Daphnia pulex: one gene and its partners. The protein of the gene in region 1 binds, or shares a complex with, the protein of each later gene. Links are inferred from orthologs where the notes say so. Each region holds a gene or a part of one and is shown on either strand. Other genes may lie near its edges.

Region 1 (6,444 bases):
TAGAAAAAAGGAATATTTCAATTTAGTACCTATATCCAAATAGCGCGAGAAAAGATGGACAAACATTTTCTGTAGCTGCTGTGTTCTTTCAATTCCTACGGGGGTAGCATAGCGCATGAGAACAAGTCCAAGGGATTCAAGGCAAATAGGAAAAAGATCCAAGCTCTTTGAAGTATCCTCCCTGCAGAATTTATTAAATTGTTAGTTTTAAGATGGAATTTTAATTGATCAAAAGGCCTGCATACTGGATACAAATAAACGATGTCTTATTGAGTAGATACTCAAAAATGTGTGATACATTCTTTCCAGAAACCAAGAAGCTACACTCGCCCAAGGCTTTAAGGCCAACACATTTGAGCTGGAGGGAAGCCTGATCAGATTCCAAAATCTCTATCACATTCTTCATGAAAAACTAAGAAGATAAATTTTAAACAGAAGAAAATATACATTAATACACATGAAAATGAAAACCTCGAGTATTGATGATTTGTGTGTAGCATCTGATTCAATCTTCAAAATTTTTACGCTTTCGTCAATAAACTTCCCAAGTGCTTTCAGACCACTTTCAAGAATATCTGTTTTTTCGCGCAAAGCATAAGATTTCAAGTTATCGAACCAGGATTTGTATTGCTTTAGCAGCAAGTTATTGAAGAGAGATGCGTGTTCTTCCAGCATGTTCAATGCGGCTGTGCATAAAAAACAAAAACAAAAAATAAATAGTTCAGGCAAAATAATGAAAAACCAAATGTTAATATAACCACCTTTTTTGGTATGAACTCTCTTATCGACCAGTAAAAATTTCGTGAGAAGCATCAATAAGTAACTATGAATTTTTTCCCTACATTTTTGGTCAACGATTGAATTAAATGAATGGAGAAATCCTGTAAGAGCTTCAATACAGCCTGCTACACGTTTATCTTTGAAATCATGCTGCCTTTTCACCTTTAAAGAAAGAAAAAGAAAAATTATTTGATTTTACAGAACGTAATTATTTACGTTAATGTTTAGTTACCTCCTTTTCAAGTTCATAAAGGAGTTGGTTAATGATGCGACTGGCCTTTTCCTTCAGTGTACTAGGAAAGTACTGGGCCAGTCTGCCTAGGAGTACTAGGAAATTCATTTTCGCTAAAGTAAAACATAAATATTATAAATAACCATAGAAATACATATCTATGCATACACAGTAATAATACAATCTGCATAACAAACAGGGTAATTATACAATAGTCTTTTTAATTAATCACCTTTGCTTGAACTATCATCAGAAGATGTAGCCATTTTTTCAAAAAGCATATTAGAAAGGGCTGGCAAATTCAGTTCTTCTAATATTTCTGTTGGTGAAGTTTGAGCAGTAATAACAACTTGGCAAAGAACAAAATAACAAGCTCCTCGTATCTTAGAATTTTTGGAGTTCATGTACATCAATGCTAAATTCTTAAGGTAAATGAAAGTTATACTATTAGGTTTTTACACATAGCTAGGTAATATTAATTATTTTCCATACTTTAATAACCACTAAATGGTTGCTCATGGATTCTCCAAATTTTTCCAGTAAATCACCCAAAATTGACAGGGCACAATTTATTATTTCTGCAAAGTTGTCATCCTTTTGAGAATCTCTGAACTTGGACAACAAGGAAATTAATCCAATTTCTTTGTTTAGTAAAGCCGAGACAACAGAATCTTTAGAAAAAATACAATGTAAATGAATTGATTAACATGTTTTTGATGGGACCAATATTTGAAACCTACTGTCTTTGGTTTTGGATACAACATCTTTAATATCCTTGATTTGCTCCAGCATATCGCTGCACGTTCCAGAATGCATCTGAAATAGATAACCTTCCAATACGCTGTCCATTTTATATTCCTCGATGTTACCGACAACCGGACACTTTTAAAAGGCCAACTTCTTCTCGATTATTCGCAATTTTTACGACTTTAAAACTTTAATCATACATATTTAAATGTTAAGACAAGTTTTCAATTGTAGTGGTTCTTCAAAATTTTGCGATCAACGTTAACTCACGTAGGTTATAGGCCTAAGTGATGTTTTCATCCCTCCCGGGTTATGATGATTCGGCTGCTAGAATTGTGCTTTTGCGTAGGCATATTTGCCATGACTGATAGTTAGGCGTAATACATATTTGTAAAATATTCGCTATCATGGTTTTAAAATATCATTACGTTACTTTAAAAATATTTAAAAAAATTATTACCAACTCATTCCTCAAATGGGTATAAGGATTCAACTTTTTTGGAAATGAATAAATGTAGGCTATTTTCTGAAAACAAAAAAAAATCCAATGTATGATTATAATGCGAATAAAAATCAAGAAAAAATAATAATAATAAAAAATCTAAATTATTTTCCCTTCAGAAGATCCCGTTCTAGCTGACAGGCTAGGCTAGTCACCAAGTTACCTATGGTGTTTGGTGAATGGTGATTGCCTGATTGGTGGATGGTGGTTGCCTTGGCCTTCTCGATGGTAGTATTATTTGTTGAAATCTGGCACAGGCTTCCGCCATTAAAGACTCGTGTCCGGTGTGCAGTGCTTGTTTTTCATCATGGCTCGACGAAAAGAAAATGATCGAGCTCAGCAAAATAACGATGACTCGGATTCTAACCCAAACGATGAATTAGAAGACGAGCCCAACTTCGATGATCCGGAAGGTTATGAGGACGATATTTCTGAAGAAGGTACCGTTTGTAACTTACCTTTTGCCATATGGCTTTCCTGAGCATGCCGGCATTGAATCTTGCTAACTGTCAATGTAGATCTTATAGGTGACCTCATCAGGCAGCGTCCGAAAGAAACCGACGGAGTCGAATCAATTGTTGTTATTGACGGTGTTCCTCAGGTTGGTACTGAGAGGATAGAAAAACTTCAAAATGTCCTGAGAAAACTATTCCAAAAGTTTGGAAAAATAACTAATGAATATTATCCTCTTAATGCTGATGGATCAACTAAAGGGTAATTTATTAGTTTTTTTTTTAACTTTTGTGTCAGCCCAATTTTAACATAATATACTTTTGAAGCCATGTTTTCATAGAGTACTCAAATGCCAATGAAGCATTGGAAGTTCTTAAAGGAACTAATGGTTACAAGTTCGACAAAAATCACACCTTCACTGTGAACTTACTTACTGACTTCGAAAAATATAATGACATTCTTGATAAGTGGGAAAATCCAATTCCTCAGCCGTTTAAGGAGCAAGGATGCCTTCAATACTATCTTCTTGATCAAGACGCTTGTGACCAATTCTCAGTTGTGTATGAGCAGGGAGACAAAGTTGCTGTTTATTTGAACACTCAACCTGAACCCTCTCTGCTGGAAGAAAGACCTGTGAGTCACTTCACCTTTATTATTATTATTATTTTTTTTTTTCATATTAAAATTTTATCTGACCAATAATTATCTTCACAGAGATGGACTGAGACTCTAGTGCGGTGGTCACCTCTTGGCACCTATCTAGCCACTTTCCATGCAAAGGGTATAGCTCTTTGGGGTGGTGAAAAGTTTCAACAAATTGTGCGCTTCAGTCATCCAGGAGTGCAATTCATTGACTTCTCACCATGTGAGAAGTATTTAGTATCTTTTAGTCCACTGGCTGATTCAAGAGCAACTGATGAACCACAAGCCATCATCATTTGGGACGTGTTGAGCGGTCTTAAGCGACGAGCTTTTAATGCCGATAAATCTCAAGCCCTGCCCATTTTTAAGTGGTCGCATGATGACAAGTATTTCGCTAGGATGGGAATCGACATGCTTTCTGTTTATGAAACCCCATCATTTGGCCTTTTAGACAAGAAGTCGATCAAAGTAACGTACACGATTTACAAAATCTTCTAATAACCATTTCCTAACATGCACTCTTACATTTTGATAGGTTCAAGGAATTCGAGATTTTGCCTGGAGCCCAACAGACAATACGATTGCTTATTGGGTCGGAGAGGAGAAAGATACTCCTGCTCGCGTCACACTTCTTGAGTTGCCAAGTCGCAATGAAGTGCGAGTCAAAAATTTGTTTAGCGTTGCCGACTGTAAAATGTATTGGCAAAAATCAGGTGACTATTTGTGTGTGAAAGTCGACCGCTATGCCAAATTAAGGAAAGATAAGTCCGATATCAAATACAGGTAATGAGATGCCACTCCTTCAATTAATAGATATAAAAGCTAATTTTCCCCCCTTTGATAGCGGTATCTACTACAATTTGGAAGTTTTCCACATGCGAGAAAAACAAATTCCAGTCGACTCGGTAGAAATCAAGGAAACCATTCAAGCTTTTGCGTGGGAGCCAGTTGGTACTAAGTTTGCCGTCATCCACGGTGAGCCACCGAGTACTTCTGTTTCTTTCTTCGAAGTTAAAACTGGACAAACGCCTACGATGGTTAAAAAATACGAACGTAAACCTTGCAACCAGTTGTACTGGGCCCCTTCTGGTAAGAAAACATTAAATTTAATGTTAAAATTCTAAAATCCTTACTATACTTTATCGAACAGGCCAGTTCATTGTGTTAGCCGGCCTACGTGCCATGTCTGGCACATTGGAATTTGTCGACACCCATGATTTTACCGTCATGAATACGGGCGAACACTTCATGGCTACTGATGTGGAGTGGGATCCAACCGGTCGGTATGTCGCAACTGCTGTTTCCTGGTGGGGTCACAAGGTAACAAAAATCAAGCAATGTATTCATTTTTGACAATGTTTGATCTCTTGTACTTTGACAGGTCGATAATGCCTACTGGTTGTGGTCCTTCCAAGGACGCATTCTCAAACGCGTAGCACTAGACAAATTCTGTCAGCTGCAATGGAGACCTCGACCACCTTCATTACTTCCAGCCCAACAAATAAAGGACATTAAGAAGTCTTTGAAGAAATTTAGTGCCCAATTCGAAGTGAAGGATCGATTGAAAATGACTAAAGCTTCCAAAGTAAATATTTTTTGAATGTGTAATTTTTGGCGAAAGTATTTTCTAAAAATCTGACATTTTCAAACTTCACCCAGGAATTGGTAGAAAAACGCCGCAAACTGATGCAAGAATATGAAGACTTGCGTAAGCAGAAGCAAGAGGACTATGACGCTCAACGTCGCCGTCGTATCGAATTGCGCAACAGTAAGTTCTTAAACCTAGTTAATAAGTAAGCTTATCAGGATTTAACTCACAAATGAATTCACAGACGTGGATACGGATGAAACTGAAGGCCGTGGAGGGGAATTAGAAGAGGAGACAGTCGAGTTTTTCATTAAAGAGGAGACGACATTCATCGACGAGTAATTGCCAAGACTGTAAACAATCACCACATCTTGAGGCGTGCTGCTTATTCAGTGAAAGGCAGCACATCTCGAGGTTTTTGTCAGATATTAATATCCGACAAATCCAACATCAGAAAATGAAGACAAATATAATTGTGTGTCTCATCGATTGGTTATGGCTGTTTGCGTCTCTCTTTGGTTTCAACTATCATGTACCCTTTAGATTATCAAAAATACATTTTGATTGCCTCGTCGCAACTGAAGTTGAACGAGAAGTAAAAAGGAATATATTGTACATGTTTCTGTTTGGGAAAAATTTACCGTTAACATTCGTTGATCAATAAGTCTGCAAATTTTTCTATAATGTTAGTCTTAAACTCTTAACAGAGATATACTCTTTCTTATAGTGCCCGAGGGTACTGTAATCGAAACATGGAGTTCGATCATTTTGACAGCAGAGTAATGAAAGACTGGAAGTACTTAAATTTTCCATGGCTTGAATTAGTTAGCATTTCGGAATTTATGGGTTATAGTGGGAAATGGAATTGAAGTCTGAAGGAAATGACGGATTTATAGAATGTTGGAAACTGGAATGGATTGGAAAATTGGAAAAACAAAAATATTATTTTTACTACTACATTTTTTTCTGGTGCGTGCGGCAACGTTGTCTCACATTATGACACGAAGTTGGGTGTGAAGTGGTGTGAAGAAGAAGGCGAAGTTTTCATTTCGATCAGTTTTGTCAGACATGGTAATGGTAAAATCTATTGCACTCCGGAGTCCGGAGCGCTCTAGTGTCAAAAGTGGCTATTGCACTCCGGAGTCCGGAGTCCTCTAGCGTCAAAAGTGGCTATTGCACTCCGGAAAGGAAATATGTAGTACTTTCATTTGGCGACCGATGGCATTCTGTTTCTGTGTTTTGAAATTTGAATGGTTTAGATTTGAATTATTTGGAAATTCAAATAAAATGTATTTATAACAATCAAATATATTTGAATCTCACTAATAAATAAAAATAGTCAGTGTATAGAAGGAACTTTTATTTCGTTATCGTTAACTTAGCTAGAGTACAATGTCCAACATTGAATCAGCTTAAAATTCAAATTGTTAATATAGTTAAGTGTCTTGCAGCAGGAATAAAGTAGAATTTATAAACATTTCAATTCAGGGTGATATTTCT
Region 2 (5,608 bases), about 1.5 Mb from region 1:
GTTTGCTGCCATTCGACTTCAAATTTCCGTTACTTTCCCGAGATTTCAATTCTTCACACTTTTTGGTTTTTGTTCTTGTTTCTTAACAAACAATAGTGATGCCTTCTGCAATGGAAGACTTTACCAAAATAGAAAAGATCGGTGAAGGTAATGATCCCTGGTACACTAAGCTGTGTAACTTGAACTGATTTTAAAACTTTTGTTTCGCAAAGGTACTTATGGTGTTGTCTACAAGGCTAAAAACCGTAAGACTCAACAATTTGTTGCCATGAAGAAAATCAGGCTTGAAAATGAAGATGATGGTGTTCCTTCGACAGCCATCAGGGAGATATCACTTTTGAAAGAGCTGCTACATCCCAATATCGTCTGTCTGGAGGATGTTTTGATGCAAGAAGGAAAGCTGTATTTAATTTTTGAGTTCCTGTCAATGGACCTTAAAAAGTACATGGACAGCATTCCAACTGGGCAGTTGATGGATAAAACTCTTGTTAAGTCTTATTGCCACCAGGTTTGCTTAGAAGATTTAGGACTCATTTATATATTGGCCTGATTTATATTTTCCCTCTAGATTTTGGAAGGCATTTTATATTGTCATAGACGTCGAGTTTTGCATAGAGATTTGAAGCCCCAGAACTTACTCATCGATAAAAACGGAATTATTAAGATAGCTGATTTCGGTCTTGGGCGCGTATTTGGAGTTCCCGTTCGTGTCTACACTCACGAGGTAAAGGAAAGAAGGTTCCCAATGCATGGACGTATACTATAAATTCTTTTGAACTCACGAAGGTTGTTACTCTATGGTACCGTGCTCCTGAAGTATTGCTTGGGTCATCAAGATATTCGTGCCCCATAGACGTGTGGTCGGTTGGCTGTATTATGGCTGAAATGATAACGAAAAAGCCATTGTTCCAAGGAGATTCGGAAATTGATCAGCTTTACCGTATTTTCCGGTAGTGTTACTTGTCCTTTTTTTTTTATTTTTAAAATTACATTTGTTCCTATTTTATTTGAAACACAGAGTAATGAAGACGCCCACGGAGGAAATGTGGCCAGGCGTTTCAAAAATGCCCGACTATAAACCTACTTTCCCTAATTGGAATACTTACCACCTTCAAAATTCCGTGAAGCAACTTGACTCGATTGGATTTGATCTGCTTCAAAAAACTCTCATTTACGATCCAGCCCTTCGTATCACGGCTCAGGATGCTTTAGATCATGCTTGGTTTACCGATCTGGATAAATCTATCTTACCCACCAATGTGCCTGCTTAATTAAGCATTCCTCATGTAAACGATAGCTACTAAACCTGGCCAACTTCCTGATGGTCGTTTCTTGAAATTCTGTTTTTCGCTTTTCCTAATCATCATTTTTTTTGCTCTCTGAGAGAAGATGGGTGTGATTCTTTTCCTTGGTAGCGAAGAAATTTTCTTCCCCCTTGTGTACGTGTGACTGTATACTATAGTTTCCTAATAAATATGCTCACGAGGACTACATCAGAAAATTGTAATTTAATTGGGAGATGTTCATTTTTATTTTTTATATCAACGTTCTGAATTAAATTGTCAACAATGTGAGTTTTTCGTTCAGCGACAGTTGAGTCTTGGTAAGTTGTGATAGATATAATACCATCAATAAATCCTAAATTAATAAAGTTTTACAAAAATTAGATTAAATAAGTAAATATTGGGTAATGTTTTCTACCTTTCGGTTTGAATTAAGCATCTCTTCAAATTCGTCGGGTGTCATTTTAGGTACCGAATGAACCATATCTAATAGAGAACGACCAAACGTGTTGTCAGCCGTTTTGGAGCCACTCATTACGTCGTCAACATAAGCCAAGATAGTGTCCAGCATGTTTTCCATCTGCTGCGAGGCTTCAACAATCTGAGTAAGATCCGAAGCGATGCCCGCTTGACGTTTAACCGAGGTTTTGGTTTTCTGGCAGGCATTTACTGAAAAACAATCAAAGATTAATTCCCAGTATACATACACATTTTCTATTATAATTACATCCAATAGTTTCTGGGTCATAGCATGCTATCTCAACAGAAACAGGAGCAAACATGCATCCCATAGTTTTGCCTGTGATACCCATTGGGACACTAGATGATAATTTAAAGATAATTATTTTTCAAAGCAATTGTATCATACTGAATTAATAGCATGTACCTGACATAAGCTTTGATTCCCATACGGGTATCTTGCAATGTGGTGTCCACTGTAATGTGAACAGGATTGGAGGACTCTCTGGAGTAGTACTCATGAATAAGAGCAGAGTGAGATGTGACTCCAGTACCAGTTGCCCACCAACCTACAATGCTTTCTTGGGGATTAACTTTACGATGCAAGTCATACATATCCTTGGCAAAGTCCAATTCCACAGCCACTTCTTCTTCTGATTCATTGTGAGGCACACAAAAGCAATTGGTCACTTCCACACCATTTTTATCTGATGTGCCTGGAAAAAATCAATATGAAAAATGAGTTATCACAACTTCGATTTCGCATATTATAGGAATTTAGGTATATAATCCAAAGATTTTGTCAGGTACTCGATACCGATACACGTGTCAACAGTCGAAAAAACAATAAAACGCGAAAGCAAACGGATGATCTAAATTGTATGTTACCAAGCAACGTTCCAATTACTCTCTGTGCATCAGGATTACGACGCTCATAAGAGTCAATAATCTGAAATAATACAACAGGATGCAACTTGACAGTCAGATTGAGAGCCATTTTGCGTGACTTTTTTTGCAGACCACTACCGCATTGGAGCTGAAAAAGCCGACACGAACTAGTTGCCAATTGGTGATATATAATACGTTGAATTATTTCTATTTACCAAACACGTCTCGTTATACATTAAAAAAAATTTAATTTAATAAAATGTACGGTGTACATTGTTTATAAATTTTACACGTCATTTTAATTATTTTTTAAAGACTTCTCACTTCTCAGTCACCAGAGGGCGCGACCAATGCTTTCGCTAGCGTTGGCATAGCTTAGTTGTTCTTGATGGGAAGGGAAGGCTAAAGATGGCGGGTAAAAAAAAATGCTCTCGTTGAATCCTTATTTTCGAAAATTGAAAATCTTTCTTTCTGTATCCATTCCTCAGATTTATTTATGAAGCATCGATGTGGCTACTGTCAGGACGACATCCTTGGCATTCGAATCCGATGTAACGTTTGTGTCGATTACGAACTTTGTTTACAGGTGTGGTATAAAATCTTCGTTGAATGAATCCCTCCCCTTCCTTCTTTGTTGTTTGTTATGACGCCCACCGGAGTGGTATTGCCGGTTGGTCGGCGGCGAATTTGAATTATTTTAATAACACAGTTTTGCAATGTTTCTTTCTAGTGTTTCTCTCTTGGCTGTGAAATTGGACCACATAAAAGTAGTCATGGATATAGATTAATAGTGAGTATTTAAGTTTTTCTATCAAACTCTCAATAAATACTTTATTTTTAATTTCTAGGATCCTGGTACTTTTAGTATTTTTCCTGACCAACAAAGGGAGGATGAAGGTGGCTGGATTGCAAGGGAAGACTATCAGTTACTTGATGCAATAGAACAGTTTGGTTATGGAAATTGGGAAGATGTTGCGAAACATGTAGAAACACGGGATTCAGAAAGTAATTGTTGATTTTTATCAGGATTTTATCATCAGTTACTCTCCAATTATGTTTTTTTTACAGAATGCAAAGAACAGTACTGTGATAGATTTGTCACAGGAACAATAGGTAAACTAACATGGCAAGGGCTTCCAAATGGACTTCTCGCAAGTGGAGAGTCTCGCTTGGCAGCAATTGATCACACTTGTCCAGATAATGCACCTCTATCTCCATCCATCACATCACGACTACCACCTTTAGCTATTCAACCTGAAGAAACATTAGAACTTGGATACATGCCTCAAAGAGATGATTTTGAAAGGGTGGGTCTTAATTTGTCATGAAACAAATTGTCTTAAAAACTTCAACATTATTTTTATTTTTTGTAGGAACATGACAATGAAGCTGAGGCAATTGTTTCTCATCTTGCCATTAATCATGACGACGAGGATATTGATTTGGCTCTAAAACTGGCTCAAGTCGATATGTATACTCGCCGCCTGAGGGAAAGAGCCCGAAGGAAGCGGGTTGCTCGGGATTTTCAACTGGTATCCCAATTTTTTAACGCTATCAAGAAAGAGAAGGAAAAACCTACGACTGCCGCAAAAAAAAGGGAGTCCCAAAAGGAAAAGTAATTCATGTTTCAATTAGTTAACTATAGATTCATTACAAACAGTTACATTTTTTTCCTTGTACAGAGAAACGCAAGAAAAATTTCGTTCGTTTTCCCAATTCCACACGGCACCTGAGCATGAGCAATTCTTACGCAATCTAACTAAAGAGAGAGCTTTGCGATTGCGGATTCGAGAACTAATCAAATACCGTAGGAATGGATTAACTCGACATGAGGAATGTACTGAATATGAACGACTGCGATACTTCCGTGAAAGAAAGAAAGAAGCCCGGTTGGAGCGCCAGCGCCGGAAATCCGTAAGCAATTTTCCCAGTCTGTACTATTGCTTGCATAGTTTCGTCAAGCGATAGTAAGAGTGTGCGACTGGTTTATTTACCTGTTAATACTTCGTTGAAATGAATCATTATTGGTGGTGTCCATTGGTTGAATATTCGATTTTATTTTTTTACTTATGTGTCTTTATTTTAAGTATCTTACAAGCTAGTTAAATTAGAACCCAAAAAAGACTGGAAATTGAACAATAGACTTTAACGTAGGGAAGCAGTGGACCGGGGCCGATTGTACAAAACCCTGGGACACTACACAAGTCAGAGTAAGCTTTATTATTTCCCCTTTTTTACATACTATGTGCAGTTTAACTCATCAGTTACCTGTGATAGCTTTGCATTATATTACGAAATCTCAACTATATTTCTTAGTTCTTAGAATTGTTAAGTAAATTCGTGGCTTATGTATGTAACTTGTTTTTTTTGTTTTTTTTTTTTTTTTCGCAGCAACGCAAGGGAAGAAGTGCTACTTTCAAGCTTTCGAGACGCAAAAGTCACCTCCTTCGGCAGCAACAACAACAGCAGCGTCCTCAGCGTTTCAAGCAGTCTGCCTCGACTCGGGCCCGTACTCTCCGCTAATACCCGACTTTCACAGTCAGAATGGCAGGAGGCAGTTGCTAATTTCCTCGCCAAGAGCGACGATCTCACTTTATGTCCCGGTTCAGAACTGCTCAGTCCTGCTGAAAAGCAAGTCAGTGAAACGATTATTATAATTATTATTTTTAAAGTTTTATCCAATAATTGTTTTCCTTTAAATCTCAGATTTGCCAAAATCTACGTTTGAGACCATTGTACTATACGTCATTGAAGGCCAATCTCATATTGGTAAGTCGAATCATTCACTCTCTTGATTTATTCACTTGAAATAAAATACAAATCTTTTTCTCAGAGTGGGACCGACAAGACTCCGCTCCTACCCGGCCTGGCTGCTGACGAGCAGTCTATGATTGTAAATTATTTTACGAAAGCCGGTTTTCTGTCTGTCGAGTGAAAACAGCAATTTTGTGTTGAAAAAATATGTGTCTTTTTTGAAT
Region 3 (5,996 bases), on another chromosome or scaffold:
AAACTTAAACGCTGAATTCCAGCCTAAAGAAACTGCCATCAACAACGTAACAAAAGGTAATTTTAACAATCAGAAAATAATGTAAACACGATTTTAATATTGAACTTGTAGGTGCTGAACTTAATGTTAAAACATTCCCTACTACAACTCCTCTTTATTCTTCGACGACGTCTCAATCAACTACGGCTGTTTCAACTACAACTTCGACAACGACGACACCATCCTCGATAGAATTGCTACCCACGACCATCAAAAACATTTCATTACCCATTCCAGTTGCTACAACATTGCCAGTCGACCTTGCAGATAATGTTGTAGTCAAGAGTCGTGGAAAGAGCAGAGGTCAACAAGATGAAGTCAGCTCGGTGGTTCCCTCGACTACGCTCGTACTTCCAGTCACAACTTCCGAGCCTAACGTACTTGTGACAACAACAAATTCACCCATCCACAATGAGAGCGAGACTATTGATCGGTCCCCCGTTAAAGTTTCTGACTATCTGGAGCGTTTTGGAGTTACGCGGATGCACATGTTGTATACCGTTATCGCCATCATCGTCTTGCACACAGCCTTTTTCTTTCTCTTCTTTCTGTGTTCTGGAACTCGCAGCTCGACCGCCGAACGTCAAACGTCTGATCGGAAAGTTAAACCTTTCCGGCCCAGCGCCAAGATATCCTTCGTCGTGCTGATGTTCTCGTTTTACTTGATGTACGTCGGCTCTGAGGTCGTATTTGCTCAGTTCCTTACTACATTTGCGTTGGAGAGCCCACTTAAGCTATCGACTTCGACTGCCAATTACATCACAACTACATTCTGGGCCTCGTTCGCGGCCGCACGATTTGTAGCCATTTTCGTTGCCCACTTCACCAATCCCACAGCCATGCTCATTTTCAACTTATGCTCTACTGCGCTCGGCTCGATGACTCTCTGTGTTGCTGGGCAGACGGACGCCACTATTTTGTACGTCGGTTCGGCCTTGGTTGGCGTAGGAATGGCTTCAACCTTCGCAACAGGCTTCATATGGACCGAAACACACCTGCTGGTAACTAACCGGATTTCTGCGGCTTTCTCAGTTGCTTCTTCAATGGGAGAGATGATATTCCCAACGGTACGTTAAATTTAAATGCTAATGATTTCCACTACGTATTTATAACCCGTCTGTTTTGTTTACCGTGTTGATACAGGTAACAGGCGCATTGATCGAGTCGAATCCACTTTCCCTGATGTACATAGTTCTAGGATGCACCATTTTTATCACGACAGTCTTTTTTGTAGCCTGGTACCTGGCAAAACGTAAAGGACGAGGCTTTAGCAGTAACAGCAGGGGCTATCATCTTGCACGTCAAGCCGAGGATGAATCAGCGCAAAACTAGATAACTTTACTTTTTTTTCACTTAAAAATAATGTTTAGGTGAGGTAATCCTCATTCCCTTGATGTTTAGCTTAGAAAGACAAAAGAGAAAGGTGAAAATTCGGTTCATGTCTGTGATAGAGGGTTGAAGAGCTTGATTGGAATCCATTTGCGTGTATTTTTTTTATCCCTTTACATGATCGTAGCATCCAATATTTGATGAAGGAATTTTAGGCTTTTTTCACTGTGTTCCCGATGGTCTGTTAAACGATTGAAAAGAGAAAGATCAGTTTCATTTGACTCGTCAATTTAAAGAACTAAATTGTTAAAAAATAAAATTTTAAAAATTCCAGTCATGAATTTCAAATTCAGCTCACAACTATTTTGAATGAAATTAAGTGAATTGAGAGCTAACTTACTTAGACCATTCGACAGTCAGGATAAGATGGTCGTAACCAAAACCATTCAAGGTCTTGATAGCTCGTTCGGCGTCTTCTCGTCGTTTGTAGCTGACAAATGCAAAACCTCTGGATTGGCCAGTGTTTTTGTCCTAAAATTCAGTTTGAAGCGGTGCCATAATTTTTACAAAATGATAATTAGTGAATAAATTTGAGTCTAACCTTTGAGAGGAAGATGCGTGAGATTTCGCCAATACGGCCGAACAATTCTTGAAGATCGGAATCGCGAGCGTTTTCCGAGAGGTTGGTTACTCGTACAGTGCACCCTTCATCAGCTGTTATCGGGAAAGAAAAGGGTAATCATTAAATAATGTTTTTCCTATGTATGTTTTCTATTACTTCTCCGGTGGTTTTAATAATATGAAATAAACTACTATGAAGAAACTGTATCTTACTTCGTCGACCCATAGCCATAGTCTCTCCTTTTCTGTTGCCACCATCACGAAGTGCAGGTGCAATATAGGCGCTTCCTTCTTTACCACCCTTGGCTTGCGGTCCTCCAGCAGCAGCTGCGGCAGGAGGCGGGCCGGCCTTCTTCTCCTCAGCCTTAATTAAAGAGATATAGAGCAAAATTAGCAAGAGTTCAATTCAAAATAAAGAAAATGTGTTTACCTTATTGAGTGCTTCTTGGACAGGCAAAAGTGTGTCCTTGTAAGGACACTGTGTTGTCCAATGGTCCTCTTTACAGATACGACACTTAACAATGCCCTTCTGCATGCTTTTTAACTTCATAAGAGGGTCATCTTCCTTGTTATCAGGATCCTCTTTGTTCGTAATAAACTGTCAAAGTAAAAATGGTAATTAGCATCCAACGGTTTTGATAGATCAACTGAGAAAAGAAATACCTGCATGGCTACATCTTCAGATACAATTGTTGTTGCAGGGTTTGGTCCTGGTTTATCTTCCTTGGAAAGACCAAATTTTGGCCAACTTTTACGCTGGGCAATGGCTTTAGCTACATACCTTTTCTCTATTTTGTAAGTACGCACCACCTTGAACTTCCTGTTATCATCATCAAGACCATACTCTGTGACAATTTTCAGCCCATTTTTGTATTCTTCAGTGTTAGGGGGTAAACCGAGACCTAAGGAATAATACCGGCATGATTAAAGAAAATCTTACATTAATTACGGGGAAGCGGCATTACTAACCATCGATATCCTCAACGTCATCGGCCCAACTGGATTTAACTCTGAAATCATATCAAGATTGTGTTGTATTTTTAATATTTGCACATTAATTTGTCTCATTTCACTTACTCATTATCAGCAACCGGCATTTTTCTTGGAGAAGATTGATTACGTCAAGTAAATAATCAAAAAGTAGAAAATTCACTGCTATTGCAGAAATGTGTCAGCAAGCAGCCATTAGAACGTGTGTAGAGCGACATTGCCAGTTTTGAAAAATTCATTTCGTAATTTTGACTGCTTTTACAATTTCGTCTGCTCTTCTTCGAATACAATCCCGCCGTTTATGAGATTCCGGCACGTGGAACTCGAATACAGCAAAAATGGCTAGCTTACCACAGAAAAAATATTATCGACAAAGAGCACACTCCAATCCTATCGCAGATCACTGTTTTGACTAGTGAGTATCTTATTTCCAGTTTTCGATTTATCATTAAGTCATTTTCTAACCCAATTTGTCGTTTGAAGTCCTGTCTCTCCCAATGACATGAAATGGGATGAGCTCTATCCTACATTCAGCAAAGATGGAATAATGAAACACAAAGTTCAGTTTGCTGATATTGGATGTGGCTATGGCGGTTTATTGAGTATTTTTATCACATTTTGCCAATAAAATATGTGGAAAATTAATTTTGTATTTTTTTTTAACAGTATCATTATCCACCATGTTCCCAGAGACTTTAATGTTAGGAATGGAGATTCGTTTGAAAGTTTCAGAATATGTCCAGGATCGCATAAAGGCGTTGAGGATTTTGCATCCAGGTGATTACGGAAATGTTGCCTGCTTAAGAAGCAATGCCATGAAGTACTTACATTTATTTTGTTCATTTACTTGGGCATGTTTGCTTAATTTATTCTATGCTACTAGGTACCTCCCTTGCTTTTTCGATAAAGGACAATTGACAAAAATGTTTTTCCTCTTCCCTGATCCTCATTTTAAGAAGGCCAAACACAAGTGGCGTATTATCAATGACACTCTCTTGGCTGAATATGCCTATGTTTTGGCTGAAGGGGTAAGTAGGCAGGCCTAGAACGGCCCTTCTTTAGCTACTTGATGTAGATATCTTGTGTGATTAATTAAATTTTACTTTAGGGTTTGGTTTACACAATTACTGATGTTAAAGATCTTCATGAATGGATGGTTATGCATCTAGACCAACATCCATTATTTAAGAGACTAACCCAGGAAGAGCTGGTTAGTTATACTTTATAATTAAATAGCTATAAAACTACAAATTCTTTTTGCGGTATCAGGATCAAGACATTGTAGTTCCAAAACTGTACGAATCAACGGAGGAGGGCAAAAAAGTCACGCGAAATAGTGGTGATAAATTTCTTGCTGTATTCAGAAGAATTCCTGATCCATTCGTACTTGAAGAAAACAAGTGCTAATGTATACAAATTTGTTTGCCGGTTCCCTGCTCGTCACTTGTATTGCTCCCAATGGAACTGTTTGCTGGAATTCACATAATCAACCAGCTTTAAGCTGCCATTCAAAATAGGTGACCCACGTTTTATGTATGCATCGCCCATGCGCAGAACAGACAAATTTTCCAAGATCAATAGTTGTTGACAAAGAACTCATAAGGTATGTACGGTATTTTGTAACTGAAAAGGGAGCGCGCGCAAACGTGTCAAATGACGAATGGGCACTTTGAATTAAAGTTTCATGGAAATAAATTTAACATTCTCTTTTTTGGCAATCCATTTGTAGATCTGTTTGACTGAAGGGTCTTTTATGAATGATTTCCTGATTTGTAATGTTTCTAGTTTTCAAAGGGATTAACTTGTATCTTTTTGTGGAGCTTGAGTTCTTATTGATTCATTTGCTCATACGATCGATACGTTCAATAATCTGCTTCATAGAGAAAAAAAAAATCGTGTTAAGTTTCCGTCGTCTACGTATCGACCATGTGTCAGCTGACGATTTCATGGGAAGCAAAGGAACGTGGAAAAAAAACGTCACCATCCATCCTTTCAACTTATTGTTATTCGTGTTGAATACCATTTTGTAAAAATCTTAATCGAATTAGGCGCGTAGGAATTCTGCGACGCTGTGAAAATGGGATGGGTTGAAACTCGGGGAGCGTGGCATAAATGTAATTTCACTAAGCCGACTAAGTGACTAAGACGAGATTGCATCACTGATAGTGATGTTTATTGTTATAGGATGTGAAATCCTAGCAGGCGGTAGATGAAAGAATATATAAGGAAATAATATTCCGATGAAAATTTATGGTGCGCATCAGCGTGACCCATTTGTGCTGCGTAATATGATTTCCTGCAGTTTTATTTTGTTTGAAATATTTAAACACTTGACGGATGGGAAACACTTGAATATGTTCGGCTCCGGTCCGACGGCTTTTCGTCTTATAGAAATTTCTTCGATCCCCGAGTCAATATTGGGACACTTTCCGATGCGGTTGTGCAATCGGCCGCTGTGTGGCGTATCTCACAGTCTATGCAGCCATGTTGAGTTGGCCTGGCCATATTCGAGCCAGTTCGTGCTATGAGAGACGGTGCTGGTGCGCTCTCTCCAACCGCTGTCATTCTCTACCCAACGTCAAACACGGTTCCACCGACAGTATTGTGGCTGAAAAAAGATTAACCAACTCCCTGAAAGTCTTCTTGTGTTTTTTTGTGAATTTCGTTTCATTGTGCAATCCTCTCTGTGGTCCGCCATAGTGGGGAAGTTCCCGACTGGTCCGAGTTCTTTTTGTAACGTTAGGCTCGACCGTCGAAAACACCATCGAAAATGGCAGGCAATCAGGGAATGGAATCCCTTATTCCTCTCGTGAATAAATTGCAAGATGCCTTCACTTCGTTGGGGGTGCAAATGTCTCTTGACCTACCCCAAATTGCTGTTGTGGGTGGGCAAAGTGCAGGAAAAAGCTCTGTGCTGGAAAATTTTGTTGGCAGGTGGGATTAATTTCGAGAAACCTCCCCTTTGTTTTCTCATAACTCATTGTTTTTTCACTTGTGCAGGGATTTCCTACCTCGTG

The links.
Region 2: eukaryotic translation initiation factor 3 subunit B-like (region 1) and eukaryotic translation initiation factor 3 subunit F-like share a complex: the UniProt entries of both Caenorhabditis elegans proteins name them as parts of the eukaryotic translation initiation factor 3 (eIF-3) complex. The link is inferred for Daphnia pulex from reciprocal best matches to the Caenorhabditis elegans genes eif-3.B and eif-3.F.
Region 3: eukaryotic translation initiation factor 3 subunit B-like (region 1) and eukaryotic translation initiation factor 3 subunit G-like share a complex: the UniProt entries of both Caenorhabditis elegans proteins name them as parts of the eukaryotic translation initiation factor 3 (eIF-3) complex. The link is inferred for Daphnia pulex from reciprocal best matches to the Caenorhabditis elegans genes eif-3.B and eif-3.G.

Annotation. Positions count from the first base shown.
Region 1 is NC_060026.1:9,962,095-9,968,538, reverse strand, and holds eukaryotic translation initiation factor 3 subunit B-like, read left to right. Parts: upstream 1-2,443; 5' UTR 2,444-2,568; coding exon 2,569-2,701; intron 2,702-2,779; coding exon 2,780-2,975; intron 2,976-3,040; coding exon 3,041-3,347; intron 3,348-3,428; coding exon 3,429-3,824; intron 3,825-3,891; coding exon 3,892-4,139; intron 4,140-4,200; coding exon 4,201-4,445; intron 4,446-4,506; coding exon 4,507-4,676; intron 4,677-4,737; coding exon 4,738-4,941; intron 4,942-5,015; coding exon 5,016-5,124; intron 5,125-5,188; coding exon 5,189-5,286; 3' UTR 5,287-5,550; downstream 5,551-6,444. Other genes in the region: DNA-dependent protein kinase catalytic subunit-like, read right to left, coding at 30-181, 246-412, 472-686, 762-942, 1,013-1,125, 1,245-1,434, 1,505-1,683, 1,753-1,861. UniProt on the Caenorhabditis elegans protein: RNA-binding component of the eukaryotic translation initiation factor 3 (eIF-3) complex, which is involved in protein synthesis of a specialized repertoire of mRNAs and, together with other initiation factors, stimulates binding of mRNA and methionyl-tRNAi to the 40S ribosome.
Region 2 is NC_060026.1:11,479,298-11,484,905, forward strand, and holds eukaryotic translation initiation factor 3 subunit F-like, read right to left. Parts: upstream 2,792-5,608; 5' UTR 2,740-2,791; coding exon 2,631-2,739; intron 2,459-2,630; coding exon 2,170-2,458; intron 2,103-2,169; coding exon 2,011-2,102; intron 1,953-2,010; coding exon 1,702-1,952; intron 1,639-1,701; coding exon 1,555-1,638; 3' UTR 1,508-1,554; downstream 1-1,507. Other genes in the region: cyclin-dependent kinase 1-like, read left to right, coding at 99-147, 213-508, 569-724, 787-950, 1,019-1,271; transcriptional adapter 2-beta-like, read left to right, coding at 3,039-3,045, 3,119-3,216, 3,361-3,420, 3,479-3,635, 3,699-3,937, 4,004-4,245, 4,313-4,544, 4,785-4,840 and 3 more. UniProt on the Caenorhabditis elegans protein: Component of the eukaryotic translation initiation factor 3 (eIF-3) complex, which is involved in protein synthesis of a specialized repertoire of mRNAs and, together with other initiation factors, stimulates binding of mRNA and methionyl-tRNAi to the 40S ribosome.
Region 3 is NC_060023.1:11,176,277-11,182,272, forward strand, and holds eukaryotic translation initiation factor 3 subunit G-like, read right to left. Parts: upstream 3,204-5,996; 5' UTR 3,087-3,203; coding exon 3,067-3,086; intron 3,000-3,066; coding exon 2,959-2,999; intron 2,892-2,958; coding exon 2,653-2,891; intron 2,588-2,652; coding exon 2,420-2,587; intron 2,354-2,419; coding exon 2,203-2,353; intron 2,192-2,202; exon of another isoform or gene 2,083-2,191; coding exon 1,970-2,082; exon of another isoform or gene 1,900-1,969; coding exon 1,769-1,899; exon of another isoform or gene 1,610-1,768; coding exon 1,591-1,609; 3' UTR 1,508-1,590; downstream 1-1,507. Other genes in the region: flocculation protein FLO11-like, read left to right, coding at 1-56, 112-1,106, 1,183-1,371; tRNA (guanine-N(7)-)-methyltransferase-like, read left to right, coding at 3,318-3,394, 3,463-3,581, 3,646-3,799, 3,863-4,007, 4,088-4,189, 4,249-4,386; dynamin-like, read left to right, coding at 5,750-5,913, 5,980-5,996. UniProt on the Caenorhabditis elegans protein: RNA-binding component of the eukaryotic translation initiation factor 3 (eIF-3) complex, which is involved in protein synthesis of a specialized repertoire of mRNAs and, together with other initiation factors, stimulates binding of mRNA and methionyl-tRNAi to the 40S ribosome.